2 linked regions of the Diceros bicornis minor genome follow. The protein of the gene in region 1 interacts with the protein of each later gene in a pairwise test. Links are inferred from orthologs where the notes say so. Each region holds a gene or a part of one and is shown on either strand. Other genes may lie near its edges. The genes, in order: SERGEF and DPH3.

Evidence for each region.
Region 2: the proteins of SERGEF (region 1) and DPH3 interact in binary tests that used the Homo sapiens proteins (3 or more experiments, as listed by UniProt). The link is inferred for Diceros bicornis minor from reciprocal best matches to the Homo sapiens genes SERGEF and DPH3.

The regions. Positions count from the first base shown.
Region 1 is NC_080746.1:75,712,322-75,721,518, forward strand, and holds the start of SERGEF (secretion-regulating guanine nucleotide exchange factor), read right to left. Parts: upstream 4,252-9,197; 5' UTR 4,214-4,251; coding exon 4,154-4,213; intron 480-4,153; coding exon 344-479; intron 1-343. UniProt on the Homo sapiens protein: Probable guanine nucleotide exchange factor (GEF), which may be involved in the secretion process.
Region 2 is NC_080741.1:22,592,476-22,602,340, reverse strand, and holds the start of DPH3 (diphthamide biosynthesis protein 3), read left to right. Parts: upstream 1-6,118; 5' UTR 6,119-6,260; coding exon 6,261-6,368; intron 6,369-6,916; coding exon 6,917-6,991; intron 6,992-9,865.

The sequences.
Region 1 (9,197 bases):
AATACAAAGCTCTTGCTCTCAAGAAATATTCAATCTAATTGCAAAGACTTCTAACTCATATGTGAAAGTTAAATAGCAATACATGGTATAAAATGTGATAGACGTTGCAACATTGCCACTAATTTGTCTTGTAACCTTAAGCAGTCAGTTATCCTCTCTGAATCTCATTTATATGAAGTCCTTTCAGCTCTGACAATCTAGGATTCTCTGATGGTAACTTGGCTCCTCCACAAAAATGTTTTCCTCTACAAAATACAAAAGGCTAAAAGATGACAATATAACTCCCTAGGGGAAAATATCTAAATAAGAAAATTCAGGGCTCTCTACTCGAGAAGGAAGTTACCTGTGACTACAGCAGAGTGGCCCCCTCCTCCTGTGATCCTCCTGACACACCTCGGTTTACAGAAGTCATTCAGCTGCTGGGGCAGAAGCACATCTTCCTTATGGCCAAGGCCAAGTTGCCCATAGCTGTTCGCACCCTAGGGGTAAAATAAGCCAAGGGTAAAAAAGTATGGGAACCCCAACTGTCAATGTGTACTTACCTGTCCCTATCTTGCTCACCTTCACACCTCTCAGAGCCTATAACAGAGGAGATTTCACAGGCTTATTCTCAAGAGGTTGTCATAAGCAACCCACACTTAGCAGGTGGGTCCCATCCCCACACCACCACCATTTCCATGTGAGAGGAGCCCTTAGCATCCACAACTAATCCAATGATACTCCTCGCCTTCCCTTCCAATGCCCAGCCCCCATGCATTCCCTTTGAGGGACAGCATGGGAGTTCCTTCTGATAAAAGCTAATTATCTAGGGAGACTAAGGAAAGAAATAAGGAGGGCAAATATGAACAAAGTGAGTGGGAAATGCCCTGGGACCAGATCTTGTCCCTTCTTCCCACATGCTGACTGGAAAAACTGCAATGACTTTCTCTAACCAAAGGTAGCTAAGGATTTAGTGCCATCAAGCAAGGCACATCATTGTTATTCCATTTGTACAAAGAGGTTGGCAAGGATCTCTAAGCGCCTTTCCAAGTACAATGTTTTGTGACTCTAAGATTCACATGATGAGATTCCTATAAGGGAACAGATTTCCCCTTGGTGGGCAATATGTCTATCATTGTTATTATATAATAAAGGTCCAGAATCCCTAATCCAAAACCCTCGCAGCCAGATGTATTTCAGATTCAGAATTTTATAGACTCAAGAACAGCAATACCATACATAAATCATACACACTACTGCAAGGTCCAGGAGTAGCACTCATAAGCAAAACAGTATTATTCTGCAGTAAAAGCTACAAATACTTACAGTAAGTGGGCAAAGACTATAAAGACCCTTATGTCAGGTCAGTGTGGGGTTTTCAGAGCTTTTTGTTTTCAAAATTGGAGACAAAGAGTTGTAGACCTGCAGGGAGAATCTTATTAAGATTTCAGGAATCCTTACAATTTCTCTAAGTATCTACTCCTGGCTGGTTCTTCCTAGAGGTGAGTAGTAAAACCTTTAAAATGTGTTCATTTTTGAAGACACCTGAATGAGAAAAAGTGATTTAAAACAACTACAAAAAATACACACATGCAAACTCCTAGCCCTTGTGGTCTATTCCACAGCCTTTCTGGGCTGCAAGGACTCCCAGAGAAGAGCAAACCAGGGCAGGGGCACAGGCCCCAGAGGCCCTCAGAAGCCATATTAGCTACCAATTACTGAGTGCTTCTCCATGGGCTGGGCATTCACCTTTAATCCTCACAACAACCAGGGAGATGGGCATTATCACTCTCACTTTACGGGTGAAGAAACCAAGGCTCAGAGAGATGAAGTAACTTTCTACAGTCACACAGCTAGGCAGGCAACAAGCTGGATGCCCTGTTCCTTTCATTGTACCATACTCTAAGAAAAAAGAAAAAACAGGATATATAGTGAAACAGCCGAGGCTTACCTGGCAGGAGGCTAACTGTACAACCCTACCTAAAATAATACCCCCATCACTTTATCCCCTTTTTCTGCCCTATTTTTCTTCATGGCACTCCCTGACATTACACTATATATTTGTTTACTTGTTTACTGTCCACCCCCTACACTCCATGAGGGGAGGAACTTCGTTTTGCTCACTGCTATGCCCCCTGCATCTGAAACTCTGCTGGCCCAGAGAAGGTGTGCATATATTTTATAGCGAATGACTCTAAGGCCCTGCGAGTCCCTACCTAGGAAAGATCAATGCAAGTCTTGCAGTGTGAAGTGGAGTGTATGTGCACAGGATTTCTCCACCAGCCCTGAGACCTCTGTGGCTGCCCCATTACCAGGATTGCAGGCTGCCGAACAGAAAGTAAGGGAGGGAGACACAGGCACTCTGGGATTCAAATTACGGCACTCAATTTTTGTAATGCAGCAAGAGGCCCTAAATCCAGGATAAAGCAAAATGAAGGAAAATTTAATACAACATATTACAGTTCTATTTGCCTCTCTTCCTTACAAACATTCCAGACACCCCCACACACACACCTTCAAGGAGGTAAATCCCCTTGTTATGGACTGAATCGTGTTCCCCTAAAATTAATTTGTTGAAGCTCTAACCTCCAGGACCTCAGAATGTGACTATATTTGGACATGGGGCCTTTAAAAAGGTAATTATGGTTAACTGAGACCATACAGGTGGGTCCCTAATCCCGTATGACTGGTACCATTTTAAGAAGAGACACCAGATGCTCTCGCACAGAGAAGAAGCCACATGAGGACACAGAGAGAAGGCAGCTATCTGTGAGCCAAAGAAAGATGCCTCAGAAGAAATTAAACCTGCTAACACCTAGATCTTGGACTTCTGGCCTCCAGAACTGTGAGAAAATAAATTTCCATTGTTTATGCCTCTCAGTCTGTGGTATTTTGTTATGGCAGCCCTAGCAAAAGCAGATTATGCAGCAGGAAGAACACACCAGCAGGCCTCCAAACTCAGCACTGGGGTTAGGTTCAACCACACCTTTGTTTCACAGGGGCAAGGCCATATCTGACACACAGACCCCAGTCCCCTGGGGAAAAAGCCAGAGCCAGCACCCACCCCAGGCACACATTCAATCCCCAACTCCACCCCCAGCTGAAGCGCCACCCCAAGGATGCTCAGACAGCCAGGCTACCTCAGGCCACACCACGCTCTCCCTTCCGCCAGTCTGCAGCCTGACATTCAACAAGTTCTGTCTGGTACTGATATCACCTTTTTAAAATTAACCAATACATACTGGTTTTAACTGCAATATAGATGTCATCCCCCCCTCCCAACACAAGAGCTGGAAGTCTTTGACTCGTGTGTTTTTCCCAGAGGACCAGTACATAGCTCGGCACACACAGGTATTCATTCATTCGTCAACAAGTATTTACTGAGCACCCTACAATGTGCCAGACACCCCGAACAAAATAGACACAGTACCCACCCTTATGACGCTTACGTTCCAGCCAAGGAGACTGACTTTCACAAATTACATATTTCATTACAGTTGTGATCCGTGCTATTAAGAACTACAAGACACTCCGTCTGCTTGTTCTTGAGCATCTGGTCGGATGCCTGCCACACACTCCTGGGCAAAGACCCACCCACGACACATAAAGATGACCCTGTCTCTCGGTGCTCCCGTCAAACCAAAACCAGAGCAAGACCCCCACGCCCCCAGTACAGGCAAGATGCAGTCACAGCGGAATATCAGCAAATATGCAGTGTCCCCGCCTCGTGCACGGCCAAACGCCGCAGGCAGGGGTGGGGCTGGGCAAGGGCCCGCATCCTCCGAGCAACGGGAGTGTGGGGAGCACAGGTGGCCCCACAGGGCTCCGGGGCGGGGCAGTCCTCTCCCTACGGAGCCTCCACGCTGTCTTCCCGGCGCCATCCGGGCCTGAGGGCTCCCGCGGAACCGGACGCTCGGCCCGGAGGCAGGTTCTTCCCACGGCGCCGCAGCCCCTCCGGTCAGGACCCCTCCAGCCAACAGGCCCCTAAGTCACCCCGCGAAGACCCTTCCCTCCCCGCCCTCTCCTCCTCAGCGTCCAGCCCAGGATCCTCCAACCCAAAGGCAGACTCCGGCCTTGGCCGCGGAGCCACAGCCCGCCCCCGCCGAGGCCGGGAGCTCCCAGCGCCCGCGCGCCCCCAGTCCCAGCGGCCGCGGCCGGGGGCGGAGTCACGTACCCAGGCGAAGAGCGCGGCCGCCGCAGGGCCGGCCTCCGAGGCGCTCTGCTCGCGCGCCATGCGGGGACGCTCCGCCGGCGCTTCCGGGAGGGGCTGGGGCGGGGAAGGGGCGGCCGGGGGAGGGATTGGACACTGGGTGGTGGGGCCGCCGCGGGAAGGAGTCTGTGGTTGGGAGGGGCCCGCCGCGGGGGAGGGATCTGTGGGGAGGAGGGAAGGGCCCGTCGGGAGAGGGGGGTCTGTGGTGGGCGAGGGGGCCCCGGGGGGAGGGAGGCCGCCAGGGGAGGGGCCGCCGGGGGAGGGGGCCCTCGGGGGAGGGGCCCGCCGGGGGAGGAATTGGAGACTGGGCGGTGGGGTCGGCGCGGGAAGGAGTCTGTGGTTGGGAGGGGCGGTACGGGGGCGGGGCCCGTCAGGGGAGGGATTGGTGACTGGGGGTATAGGACTGGCACGGGGGAGGGGCCCGCCGGGGGAGGGGCCCGCCGGGGGAGGGGCCCGCCGGGGGAGGGGTCTACGGCGGGCGGGAGCGCCGCAGCCGCCTCCCCGGCCGCCTCTGGAGCCGCCTCCAGTCGCGCAGCTCGGGCGGCTCTGAGAGTCTCCGTCTGGGGCCTCCTGTCTCAAAGGGCGGGTCTGCCTCTCTCTCCCACCCCTCGCACTCTTTATTTTTAGTAATGATTCTGTGCGAAGGCACTACGCTCCCTCACGTTTTTGTCTCCTTGGAGTCCCAGGACAGCCCAGAGAGGCTGACAGGACAGGGATTGTATTTGACGGGGAAGAAATTGAGCCCGAGAGGGAGTGGAAAGAGTCCTGCCCCGCTGTCTTAGGCCGAACTGTCTTTGGGCCTGCTTTGCTGTGGGTTTGCAAACTCCGAGGGAGCTTGTGGGTAGGCGCGTGTAGTGTCGTACTACACTGTGGCGGTGTCGCCTTCAGCGCCTGGCACGGAGCGGGAATTTGCACCCAGGAGCACTGACCTGAGGAGGCTGGTTCTCGTGGATTCATCTTGGGGCGGCCTTCTAACCCTCAGCGCTCTGAGCACGCCCCTGCCCTGACTGATCATTAATACTGGATAATTTTCATCCAACAAAGATTTTCGTATAAAATGGTTTTTATCAGACACCCTCATAGGCTGCTGGTGGGAGCTAAGTACAATTTTCGTGAAGGACAACGTGGCAGTGCATGTTAGGAAGATGAAGATAAATAGATATTTAACTCGTAATTCCACTTTTGTTAATTTTTCACAAGAAAATAATCAGAGCTGTGCACAAAGACTTAGACTGCAAGTTATCCTTATGGGATTCCATATAATAGGAAAGAACTTATTACCTGAAAGTCCAAAAATAAATTGATTAAATTATGGCATAGCCATGCAATGGAATACTAGGCTGCCATTAAAAGATATGTTTTGGAAGATATTAAATAAGGGGAAAGTGTTCATGATATGTTGTTAAAATAAGTATTATACCAATTTTCCATACACACACACACACACATACTCGGGGTGGTGGATTACAAGTGATTTTTATTTTCTTTTTTGTCCTTTTTTGTACATAACTCACATTTCCCAAGCCACACATTATCTTGTGGGTACAAATGGTGTCACATTAAAGATGATAATCCATATTCACTAGTACTGGACCCCTCTGCTGACACAAGTCTCCAGTACTCATCACCCTTTATGCCTGGGAGCTCTGGAAAATGTTTCCAGTGAGCACTTACAGTTCTTTCCTGTTTTTTCACTCCACCCACTCCTTGGTGTTTCCACCTGTAAGACCCCTTAAGGGCAGCACCTCATCTTTACCTCTTGCCTGTGGCATCTTGAGAACATCAATGACCATGCTAAGAAAAATGCAAACTTTAGAGAGGCAAAGCAGCTCTTCATCCTCCGGAGACCTTGATGTGCAAAAACGATACCATGTTTGCTGATTGGTTCATATGAGTGTTCCTTATGTTATATGACCATTCCTTTAAAGCATGTGTAATAGGATGTAAAAATGGGACCCTTCCCGTCTCAGTTTTGGCTGAGACTCCAAGGCAGTAAGTGCCAATTACTCCCACATTATTAAGTGAGATACAAGACCACCAAAGCAGGACTTGTGGAGGAGGTATCTAAAAACCAGTGTATGACTTCCAGTCTATGAAAGATGTTGGAGAGGCTGAGAGAGAATTCTGAGTGGATATGTGGCAATGGATGTCAATGTGCTGTGAGTCCTGCTCTCCTCATGTCTAAGGAAAGGTGTGCTTCAGAGGGCCACTAAGAGACTGTGATATGTCCCTCCAGATTGGGGCCTGGGCAGGCTGCTGTCCAGTTGGTGCTGAGAAGTCCAATGGCTTGTGGCCAGATAACTGCTTTGATAATTGAGCAAAGAGAGATTGACACTTTGGAGAGATCTTTCATGCTCAGAGTTTCTCAAGACAAAGAATGTCTGAGTATCTCCCATGTGAGTGTTTCCCATGCATGAGCAAATTGGCCAAGGGGTGGTCTCAGACCCTGTCCAAGGGAATTTCTGGAGGGGTGAAGTGACACCCACAAGAGAGTTGACCACTAGATTCCTAGAGGCTGAGTGAGATGAATTCAACAGCCCAAAGAGATACATTTACCCACATCAAGAGAGCCCGAGAAATAAGAAGTGGGAAGGTCTCCCAAAACAGCCACAGAGAATGAGAGTCAGCTTTAAATACTTACCAAGTACAGAAAGCACATATGCCAACTCACATTATCAGACCAAAAAGAACTTTCTACTCCTTACCTGTCCTCCCCATCACCATTCCCAAACCCTGGAGGAGCCAGAGGCATCCCAGAGAGTGAAGAAGCAGGAGCAAGAAAATAAGAAACTAAGCACACACCTTCCTTTCTCAATTCCAGAGAAGAAAAACTTTAACCTTTCATAAAGTTTGATGTTTTGAACTTTTACACAAGACTGGACTTTTAAAATACTCAAATGAGAGTATGTGTGTCTGTGTGTGTCTGTGTGTGTGTGTTTGTGTGAGAAAGAGAGAGAGAGAGATTAGAAGCTAAAGACTGAGAGTGAGCAGAAACTTAACAGCAGGGACCTGAGATATCAACCAAAGGGGCAAGGAGGAAGTACCCAGATTCAGTTTTAACAGAGAGAGGGTCTGGGAGAATACAGTTGTTTCCTGATTTCACGCCTTGAATGTACATGCATCAATACTTCAGCTAACTTACAGTTATATCCTTAATACAATTTCTTGGAAGTGTTGAGATGTTTCAACTATTTCAACTATGTAGACGCCACTGACTAGCTCTTCCTTGAGCTACAGTTCTTTTTTTTTTTTTTTTTTGTGAGGAAGATCAGCCCTGAGCTAACATCCGTGCTAATCCTCCTCTTTTTGCTGAGGAAGACCGGCTCTGAGCTAACATCTATTGCCAATCCTCCTCCTTTTTTTTTTTTTCCCCCAAAGCCCCAGTAGATAGTTGTATGTCATAGCTGCACATCCTCCTAGTTGCTGTATGTGGGACGCGGCCTCAGCATGGCCGGAGAAGCGGTGCCTCGGTGTGCGCCCAGGATCTGAACCCAGGCTGCCAGTAGCGAAGCGCACACACTTAACCGCTAAGCCATGGGACCGGCCCCTGAGCTACAGTTCTTGAATGGCTAGATTTAAACTCTTTGGTGGTGTCACTTTCAGATGCCTTGTCTCCCCATAAGAAGAAAATGTAAAGTATTTGGGGCCATACAGACTAGATCTCTGTACCATACAGGTTAGGAAATTTTTTCCCATTAGTTTATCTTATTTGATCTTCTCACTATTACTGGTATGATTAAGTATTGTTAGGACCATTATTTCATAGATGAGAAAACTGAGGCTCAAAGAAGTTAAATGATTTACCCTAAGGTCAGATTTCTGCTTTGGATAAAGGCAGATTAGCTAGCTGCAGACTAATTCTCTCACCAAAACAACTAGCAAAATTGGGGAAACATTTTTAAAATCTGTTTCAAGTCACTGGAGGGCTATCAAAGCAGCCAGAACTTGAAGGGCCAAGATCTGGAGGCTGAGCAATTATATTTGGCATTACTCTTCTGCTTGAAGCACTTGCTAGTTAGCAAGCAGTGACTTGGAGACTAAGAAACTGGGCTGAAAGCTGCAACTGAGAAGCTGAGAAATTGAATTACTTTTAGCAATTTTATGGGGGCAGGGGGATGAGAGTGAAGGAGGGGACAAATGTCGGAGCCCAGGGTCCCCATGGAGAAGCCCTTGTCCACACCCATAGCTTTCCTTTAGGATCCCCAAAGGGCTGCACCCTAAAAGTAGAGGTGACCTGGAAACAGACCAGCCCTCACAAAGACTGAAGCTCAGCTCAAATTGGCTTAATCCCTGATTGGACTAAGGAGATCTTCCCATGCCATTATATACTACCTGCTAGAAGCAAACGTGAATTCCCTCTGGAGGAAGATAAAATCATCCAGAAGCTATGGGGGTCTCTGATTAGGAGAGTGATTACATTAAAGATTCTTTACATATGATAATAAGTTTCTTTTACAAAGTCCTCTCATAACAGAATTCCTCCAATAACCCAGGGAAGTAGATTTAGCTCATTTTCCAGATGAGGAACATGAGTTGAGACTTTATCCAGAATTCTGAAAAGTAGTTACTCTAGTTTCCAGATTTGGCTTCCCTTATATCTCATATTCATAGGCTTTTTAAGAATTGATGTTATAGATTTCTTAAACTACAAAAATTGCTAACATATATTTAAATCAGTTTTAACATATGTTTGACAAAAAATAAATGCTTGCTGAGAACACGAATTTTGTGTTAATTTATTATCCAGTTGAATAACAAACTTGCAAATCATAGTACATAGTAAAAATAAAGACTAGACTGAAATAGACCACAGTATCTTTATACATTTCCTAGAAATTAATATATGAACTCTATTTTATGTTCCTTTAGAGTATTCCAGAATTTTTTCTTTTTTCAGTTTGGAAGCCAACTTAAAAATTAACTATAATTCTGTACATTTTGGTGTGTCATTATACTGTATAACTCCAAATGACAAAATAGGCAGATTAAGAAATGTAGGCATTCTGAC
Region 2 (9,865 bases), on another chromosome or scaffold:
GAAACTCTCACTATTTGCAGATGACATGATTGTATATATAGAAAACCCTAAAGAATCTGTTGGAAAACTATTAGAAACAATCAACAACTACAGCAAAGTTGCAGGGTACAAAATCAATCTACAAAAATCAGTTGCATTTCTATATGCTAATAATGAACTAACAGAAAGAAAGCTCAAAAAGATAATACCATTTACAATTGCATCAAAAAGAATAAAATACCTAGGAATAAATCTTACCAAGGAGGTGAAGGACCTATACAATGAGAACTACAAGACATTATTGAGGGAAATCCATGATGACATAAAGAAATGGAAAGATATCCCATGCACGTGGATTGGAAGAATAAACATAGTTAAAATGTCTATATTACCTAAAGCAATCTACAGATTCAATGCAATCCCAATCAGAATCCCAATGACATTCTTCACAGAAATAGAAAAAAGAATACTAAAATTTATATGGGGCAACAAAAGACCCCAAATAGCTGAAGAAATCCTAAAGAAAAAGAACAAAGCAGGAGGCATCACAATTCCTGACTTCAAAACATACTACAAAGCAATAGTAATCAAAACAGCATGGTACTGGTACAAAAACAGACACACAGATCAATGGAACAGAATTGAAAGCCCAGAAATAAAACCACACATATACGGACAGCTAATTTTCGACAAAGGTGCTAAGAACATGCAATGGAGAAAGGAAAGTCTCTTCAATAAATGGTGTTGGGAAAACTGGACAGCCACATGCAAAAGAATGAAAGTGGACCATGTGCTATCGCCATTCACAAAAATTAACTCAAAATGGATCAAAGACCTGAAGGTGAGACCTGAAACTATAAAACTCATAGAAGAAAATATAGGCAACACACTATTTGACATTGGTTTTAAAGGAATCTTTTCGGATGACATGCCTACCCAGACTAGGGAAACTAAAGAAAAAATAAACAAGTGGGACTTTATCAGATTAAAGAGCTTTTATAAGACAAATGAAACCAGAATCAAGATGAACAGACAACCAACCAGCTGGGAGAGAATATTTGCAAAACATACATCTGACAAGGGGTTGATCTCCATAATATATAAAGAACTCACACAATTGAACAACAAAAAAACAAACAACCCGATCAAAAAATGGGCAGAGGAAATGAACAGACACTTCTCCAAGGAAGATATACAGATGGCCAATAGGCACATGAAAAGATGCTCAACATCACTAATCATCAGGGAAATGCAAATCAAAACAACACTAAGATACCACCTCACGCCTGTTAGAATGGCTATAATCACCAAGACAAAAAACAACAAATGTTGGAGAGGATGTGGAGAAACAGGAACCCTCATACACAGCTGGTGGGAATGCAAATTGGTGCAGCCTCTATGGAAAACGGTATGGAGATTCCTCAAAGAATTAAAAATAGAGATGCCCTATGATCCAGCCATCCCACTACTGGGAATCTATCCAACGCACCTGAAATCAACAATCCAAAGAGGCTTATGCACTCCTATGTTCATTGCAGCATTATTCACCATAGCCAAGAAGTGGAAGCAACCTAAGTGTCCCTCGACTGACGACTGGATTAAGAAAATGTGGTATATATATACAATGGAATACTACTCAGCCATAAAAAAAGACAAAATCGTCCCATTTGCAACAACATGGATGGGCCTGGAGCGTATTATGTTAAGTGAAATAAGCCTGAAAGAGAAAGACAAACACTGTATGATCTCACTCATATGTGGAATATAAACCAACACATGGACAGAGAAAACTGGACTGTGGTTACCAGGGCAGTGGGGGTGGGGGGTGGGCACAAGGGGTGAAGGGAGTCATATATGTGGTGATGGACAAACAAAAATGTACAACCCAAAATTTCACAATGTTAGAAACCATTAAAACATCAATAAAAAAAAAAAGACTACTGCAAGCAACAGATTAAAGATTTAAAATGAGCTATACTGGTTTCTGTTCAGTAAGTAATCAATTTATTTAACAATTACTGGGGTGCCAGGCACTATTTTAGGCGGTGAAGACACAATAAAGAACTAAACACAAGGCCCTTGCCATCATGAAGCTTTTATTACAGCGAATGTGACAGATAATAGTAAACATAATTAACAAGACAATTACAGATTACAATGAGTGTGATACAGGAAATAGAGTGATTGGGTGGGTGGGGGAGTATCAGGAAAGGTCTCTCTCAAAAAACACCTAAGCAGAGACTTGAATGATGAGGAAGAGGCAGCCAAGCAGCCGTAAGGGGCAGAGCATTCGGGCAGAGGCCCAATCACAGAAACAAGCCTGGCGTGTCAGATGAATCTCGCTTGGCCAGTGCCACTGGAGAGCAGTGAGCTAGGTGAGAGTGACATGAGATGAAGTAAAGCAGGTAGACACGTGCCAGATCACATCAGGCCATGCTGTGTATGTACTTTACTCTAAAGGGCATGTACTTTACTCTAAGGGTAATGGGAAGCAACTGAAGGGTTTGAATAAACCAGGAGAGGGACATGATCTAATTTACATTAAACAATCACTCAGGCTGCCATGCCATGGATCCTAGAGGGTCAAGAGTCGAAGCAGGAAGTCCAGTGAGAAGGCTGCAGTCTAAGATCAGAGTAGGATAAAGCTACAGAGATGACAGAAGCAGATGAACACAGAATATATTTCGGAATTAGAACCTACGACTTGTTGATAGACTGGATGAGGTGAGAGAATGAGAAAAATCAAGAATGCCTCAAAGAGCAGTAATGCACTGAAACTAAGTAAATTCACAGAACTATCACAGCACCTGTTGATTTAAAATCCTAGGTGCCACAGGGGAAGCAGAGGGATTCCTGGCATTTGGCATTTGGTCAGGAACCCTAGTGGTATACAAGTTATTATAGTGCTTGACCTGGAAGCAGTGGAACTGGGCTCAGATCTGACTCCTCCCTGGTTTTTGATCTTGGGCCAGTCACCTCTTACCATTTTTAAATGGGAATGCCAGCCCCACCTCACTGGATTGCTGAGAAGAATAAATGTCCATGGAAGAACCTGGCAAGCAAGAATCTTACTAAAAATCATCCCAAATACATTAACCACCTCTCTCCTCCCTGCCAAACAAGAAGTGGTGGTTTGATATTGCCAATAAACGACTCCCCTTGGCCTGATATACAACAGCACTCATTAAATACAGTTTCTATTACACAATTATGACCTGGTTCTAAATTTGATCTTATGCTAAGAATTTTGGTCACTGGTATTTTCCAGATCAGCACTGTTAACATTTTATGATAAAAGACATTATGAAAAAAAGCAAACCATAAATATGTGATTTCAAATGACACTATAGCAACTAGTAAATATGCTTTTGTCATGCTCTGAGGGTCCAAAAATGTCTCATTACAAAATGTTTCCATTCCCCAGGAATAACGTAAAGTTTAGTAGTCATTGTAAAGTTTTATTTAAAAGTGATGAGTGAAGTAAAAAACCCGCATCACGGGTGTAGCTATGGTTTTACTTTCTTCCGCACAGTACGATCTCAAACTGGCTAGAACCACGCAGGGAACTACCTCTGGCCAGACAAGGGGGATGGCTGACAGAAAGCAGGATGAAAGCAGTATGGAAGGCCAAGGAGACCCCCAAATCTAGACATCAAAGGAACCAGCACTGCTCTAGCAGAAAATCTCCGCAGTCTGCTGAGCTCCAGGGCTGTTTTAGTCTAGCTCTGCTTCAAACATCATCACATCACAAATGGCATCGTAGTTAATTAAGAGCCCAGGTTCTGGGGTCAGACAGATGTGAGCTCTCACCATCGCTTACTGCCACTTTCAAGCTTTGCCTCCTTTGGCAAATTCTTTAGCCCCTAAACCTCAGGTTTCCCAGTACTGAAGATGGGATTAATGATACCCATACTCACTAGGCTGTTTTAATGACATAATGCATGTTTCAATGACATAATGCATTTGGTACAATGCCTGGCACATAATGTCAATTATTATTAATAAGAGGCTCATTAGTTTTTCTTTTTCCATTTTAAGTAATACATACTCAAAGAGAAGTTGGAAAATCACAAAAAAATTATGAACAAAAACTACTCAACAACCCCTGTAACTTTTAGGACTGTTAACCTCAGATTTCAAGATTCCCCAGCAAATTGTTTTTGATGGATCCAAACTGCTTTCTAAAAGGTCTACCAATTTATACTTCCATGAGCCAAATATGACTGCACCCATTTCTGAACATTTGAAAATGGCTCATCTTTAATTTGCAGATACTTATGCTCAGAAGCACTGATGAACTAAATATGGTTCCCAACCTCAAATCAATCACTGGGACTACAGAATAGACACTGGGGACTCTCTCCTGTCCTCCCGCCTCCAAGAGGCTACCTGGGAAGTCTCTGTGTCTACAGAGATACAGGGAGCAGCCACTGAGCTGTGTGGGCTTTGCTGGAATGTCTCCTTTGCTCAGACAGATCAGAAGCATCCCAGTTAACCCTCAACGAGTTTAACAAACGTTTCCTAACTGCTTGGTAGATTTTCAATTGTGCTAAATGGAGCGTTTGTGAAGCTTCTGAAAAAATCTTCTACAAACTCCTTCAATGTAACTTCTGAATTTTCTTCCCAAGACTCCTCTGCCTTTAGGTTTTCAAGCCTTAAAAGAGCTAAAGTAGGTGGAGCTTCATTTTGGTGTGCACAAAATTGGTAACTTCATGCAAACATTTGAGTATGTCTACATAAATAAGCATAGGGATGTGTATATAAGTGTGTGTAATATATACGTATTATGTAAATATAAAATACAGTATACGTGATTGTGAAACCAAAACTCATATCGATGCAAAAGTAGAATGTTAGATCTGAAGAGATCTTGTAAATCATCTCTAATCCAACCCTTTTTTAGTCAGAAAAGGAAATAAGGCCCAAAGAATGTAAACATCCAGCTCCCAGAGCCAGTTGGCAACAGTCAGATTCTGAGCCCGGATCTTCTGCTTCTCAGTACTGTAGCGTTTTCATTGCACTGCATGCCTTCTCCACCAGGAGGTGAATAAATGCCTAGTCATGGAGCAATACCCCACGGAATCCAGCTGTACCAAAACAGGCACTAGCACCAATTTCAATACAAACCACCTTTAATTTGCATTTCACTTCGAGGTATACACAGGCCTCACGTAATAACCCTGCTCGCTGACCCTCTTCCTTTTGCAAAAAGGAAACTGTTCACATACATTAACTAATTTGTTCCTGGGCTTTGGGGACAGACAGGCCCTTCTTTTCCTAGGTGTGTGATCTTGGTCAAGATACCCAACTCTCTGTGTCTCAGTTTGAAGATTAAGAATAGAGAACTCCCAGGGCTGATGGGAGAATTACACTTACCGCAATACCTGGTACCCTGCAAACTCCCAATAATAAAAGCTATTACTACTAATCACTATAGTTAATAACGTTATACGCCTGGCAAACACACGACTAGAACGCAATCTCTGCCTTCCAGGTGTAGGTCCTTTGAGCAACACAATTTAGGGCATTTGAAGATACTGCGGGGTGAGGAAGAGGCGAGGATGTACCTGAATAGCCGAGTGCGGCCAGGAACTACAAGCTAGGCGTTGCCCTGAGCTCAAGGTCACTCGGTGAATAAAAATTCCAAGGGAGCTTCCATCCGTCACCGGGGAGGCAGGCAGGGCGGTCCAGGAGGCTGAGCTGCTCCCGCCGCTGCCTCAGACTCAGCAAAGCAGCCCCCCCCGCTTTCCCCAGGGGCGCCGAGGCCGCGTCGATGCTACCTAGGCCTGCTGCGGCCTTCCGCTGGGTCGGCTTAAGGCCTCTCTAAGCTCCGCGGGCGTAAGACAAGGCAACGACAGCCACAGTAAGAAACCTCCACGCCGCCGCCACGGGGATCTAGCTCACAGACTCGAGCCAAACTCCACTACCTCCGCCTGAGAGATTCCGGCGTCCCCGACATGACGTAGCAGCAGCGCGAGCCATCCCCACATTTTATTGGTCGCTGCCGTCCGATGGGCGGAGCCGTGAGCGACAGCACTAATCAGCGAGCGCCGTCTTCCAGTGTCTCCGCCCCCTAGCTCAGGCATCTCCATGGTGACCGCTACCGGTCACCCATTTGGCCTACAAGGCCGGAGTTGCGTCATTTTCTATGCGCCGGAAGTGACCGTTCCTGAGCCGGTGCGTGGTGACAACGACCGCCTGGGGTTGGCGCCCGCGAAGTTAGACCGAGCCGGGACCGTGTCGGACGGCGAGGTGACAGACCTCTGCGGGCCCCAGTGATAATGGCGGTGTTTCACGACGAGGTCGAGATCGAGGACTTCCAATATGACGAGGACTCGGAGACGTATTTCTACCCCTGCCCTTGTGGGGATAACTTCTGCATCACCAAGGTAATCTCGGGGTCCCGCCCTGCGACTCCTTGGAGCAGGCGCGTTTTCGCTGCGGTCTTCCTTCCGCCATTCCGTCCCGCATGAGACTTATAGTTATCCATTCCCTTTTAATCCTGTTTCTGAATCCCCCAAAATTGACGCTCTGAGCTGTCAGGGGGCACATCGTTCTGGGCTTTAGTCAGGCCAGGGGGGTGGAGTCAGGCTGGAGGGGTGGGGGTGGATGGCGAGGAGCATCAGTTTTCTCGCCATTCTCCCCTACTTAGGGTCCCACTTCCTGGGATACTTCTTTGGAGGAAGGGACGCGTTTTTGTTTGCCCTGGGGTTTTGAGGGCACTGAACTTTGACTCACCTTCCTGGGTATTTCCCCCACGTGATGTTTCCGGGGAAAAATGGGGTTGGCATTTTTCTCAGAAGGCCCTTTTGGCGCTCACGTACCTTATGGAGAGGCAAGCCACAAAGGAGCTTGCCCATAGTGGTGGGAGGGTTTGGGAGGAGGAGATTGCAGTGGGAACACTATGCTGATCATATGGTGTTTGATTTCGTTATAGGAAGATTTGGAGAATGGAGAAGACGTGGCAACGTGTCCTAGCTGCTCTCTCATTATAAAAGTGATTTATGACAAAGTAAGAGGTCCAATTTTAAAAAGGTGGGGGGAGAGTTTTGAGGCAAGGACCTAGAGAAGTCTGTCTGTGATATAAGTGTGGAAGAATGTTTCCTAACAGTGTTAGGAAAATGCTGTGTTTTAAAACATTTTAAAAACTATTAATAAACAGCTATATTGTAAATTAAAATTTTAAAAGTTCAAATTAACTCATTTTAGCTTTGGAGAGGTCAGTAAAGAAAACTGCTCTGTTTAATGAAAATTATTGATTACTTATTAAATAGTAGAAAAATAATCTTAAAAGTTATTTAATTGACAGTCTTTATTCCTCTTTTATTTAATAAGTAATTAAAATTATTCAGAGTTCCTAAATTTATTTTGAAGGGAACTGTGTAGTATTTCTTATATTTATATAAGGTGTAATATATATATATTTCTATATATAGAATGGAATTGTATGGTATTTCTTACCTGGCTTCTGCATAGAACTTTGCATTATCTTGTTTGAGATATAAGTCGTAGTTGCAATTTTACAATTTTGTTTTAGTCTTTAGTTGTCCTATTGTTTTTCACCCAAGGATACTGAGAATAGAAAACAATAAATGTTATTAATGCCCCCCCCACACACTTTTAGTCAGTACTTTGAATAGAGTCTTCAGTTAGAAGCTAAACATTCTTTTTTTTTTGAGATATAGTTGACACGTAACAGAGCTTAACATTCTTAAGGATGAACTCTAAAATGAGTATAGGGAAGGTGGGAACGAGGCACTTAGCCTCATGAGAGAAGCCTGCTATAATTTAGAAGTTTACTTCTAAAATAAAGAAGATTTATTCTTGGATTAAAATGTGTTCTGGAACAGGAAAAGAACAGGGTAAGGGAGATGAGGAGTGCTGGTATGAGAAGAGATTGCAGTTTTAAATAGGGTGATCATGGCAGGCCCAATTGAGAAAGGCCTTTTTGAGCAAAGATTGAAAGAGGTGAGGAAGTGAACCCTGTACATATGCGGGGTAAGAGCAGTGTGGCAAAGGGAACTTGCAGTGAAGAGACCCTGAGGCAGGAACGTGCCTGCTTTTATCAAGGAACAACAGGGAGGCCATTGTGACCAGAGCAGAAGGAATGAAGGTGAGAGTTGTCCAAGGTGAAATTAGTGGAGTGGGGCAGATCACAAGGGTGTCTGTGGGCCACTGTAAGGACTCTGGCTTTTGCTGTGAATGATATAGGGAACCACTGGAAGATTTCTGAACAAAGGAGTGCCATGATCCAACTTAAGTTTTAAAAGAGTGATTCTGGCTGCTGTGTTCAGAGTAGGCTGAGGGAGCAAGGATAGAAGCAGGAAAACCAGTTAGGAGGCTATTAGACTAATCAAAGAGGGAGATGGGTGGTTTGGACCAGGCTGCAGCAATAGTGAGAAGTGGTTGGATTCTGGATACACTTGAAAGGATAAGGATTTTCTTACTGATTGGATGTAGAATATGAGAGGAGTCAAGGATGATTTCAACATTTGTGGCCTTGGTAACTGGATGGATGGATTTACCATCAACTGATGGGGAGGTGACTGCAGGTATAGGGGCCAGAGCTGGACATACTAAGTTTGAGAGGCCTGTTTTTCATCCAAGTGGAGTGAGTGAGGAGGCAATTGGATATGGAAGTCTGGAGTTCAAAGAGAGATAAGCTAGCGCTGTAAATTTGGGAGTTATCAGCATATAGATAGCATTTAGAGCTGTAAGATTGGATGAGATCACTGGGGCTGTGAATGAAGGTAGAGATGGACAAAAGAAAGGACTGAGTTGGGACCCTCCAACATTTAAAGGTCAGGGAGGGAAGCAAAGAATCAGCAGAGCTGGCTGAAAGGGAGCAACCTCTGAGGAAGAAGGAAAACCACCAGTGTCATATCCTAGAAGCCAGATGAGAAAAGATGGAGGAAGTGATCAACCTTGTCGGATGCCACTAATGGAAAGGCAACTGAAAGTTAACCGTTAGCTTCAACAGGGAGAGGCCATTTGTGATGGTGATAAGAGCGGTTTCAGGGGCCGGCCCCGTGGCTTAGCGGTTAAGTGCGCGCGCTCCACTGCTGGCGGCTGGGGTTTGGATCCGGCCACGCACCGACGCACCACTTCTCCGGCCATGCTGAGGCCGTGTCCCACATACAGCAACTAGAAGGATGTGCAACTATGACATACAACTATCTACTGGGGTTTTGAGGGGGGGGGGAAGGAGGAGGATTGGCAGTGGATGTTAGCTCAGAGCCAGTCTTCCTCAGCAAAAAGAGGAGGATTAGCATGGATGTTAGCTCAGAGCTGATCTTTCTCAAAAAAAAAATTAAAAAAAAAAAAAAACGAGCAGTTTCAATGGAGTAACAGAGACAGAGCCTGATTAAGGAAAACTTGTTGGAGAGAATGAGAGAAGAATAGGAGACAGCAAGTGTAGACATTTCTTTCAAGGAGTTTGCTGGAAAGGGGAGCAGAGACATGGGGCAGTAACTGGTGGTGAGAGAGGATCAAGAGGGTTTAAGGTGGTAGACATTCAGCTATATGGGTGAATGTAGAGACAGGAAGTTAGATTTAACCAGGATTGTGGTTTTGCCAAGTGAGTAGGAAGGAGTGAGAGCAGAGCGATTATGATAATTGACCATGGGGTTTAACTAGGTAAAGAAAACATTAAGGGAGTGAGAGGCAGTGAAAAGGTGGTAGAATAAATACAGTGGAGGTCCCAGAGGGGTTGAAATGAGGGCTCCAAGGGGGTAGGTGACAGCAACAGAGAGGAGTGGTGATGATATAGTCTCATGACTATATTCAAAGTTGGTGGTTTTCAGAGGGGAAAAGAGAACCATGGCAGAAAGGAGCAACCAGCCACTTCTCCAGTCTCTGTGGTACTGGGGCCCTGAGAGCACACGGA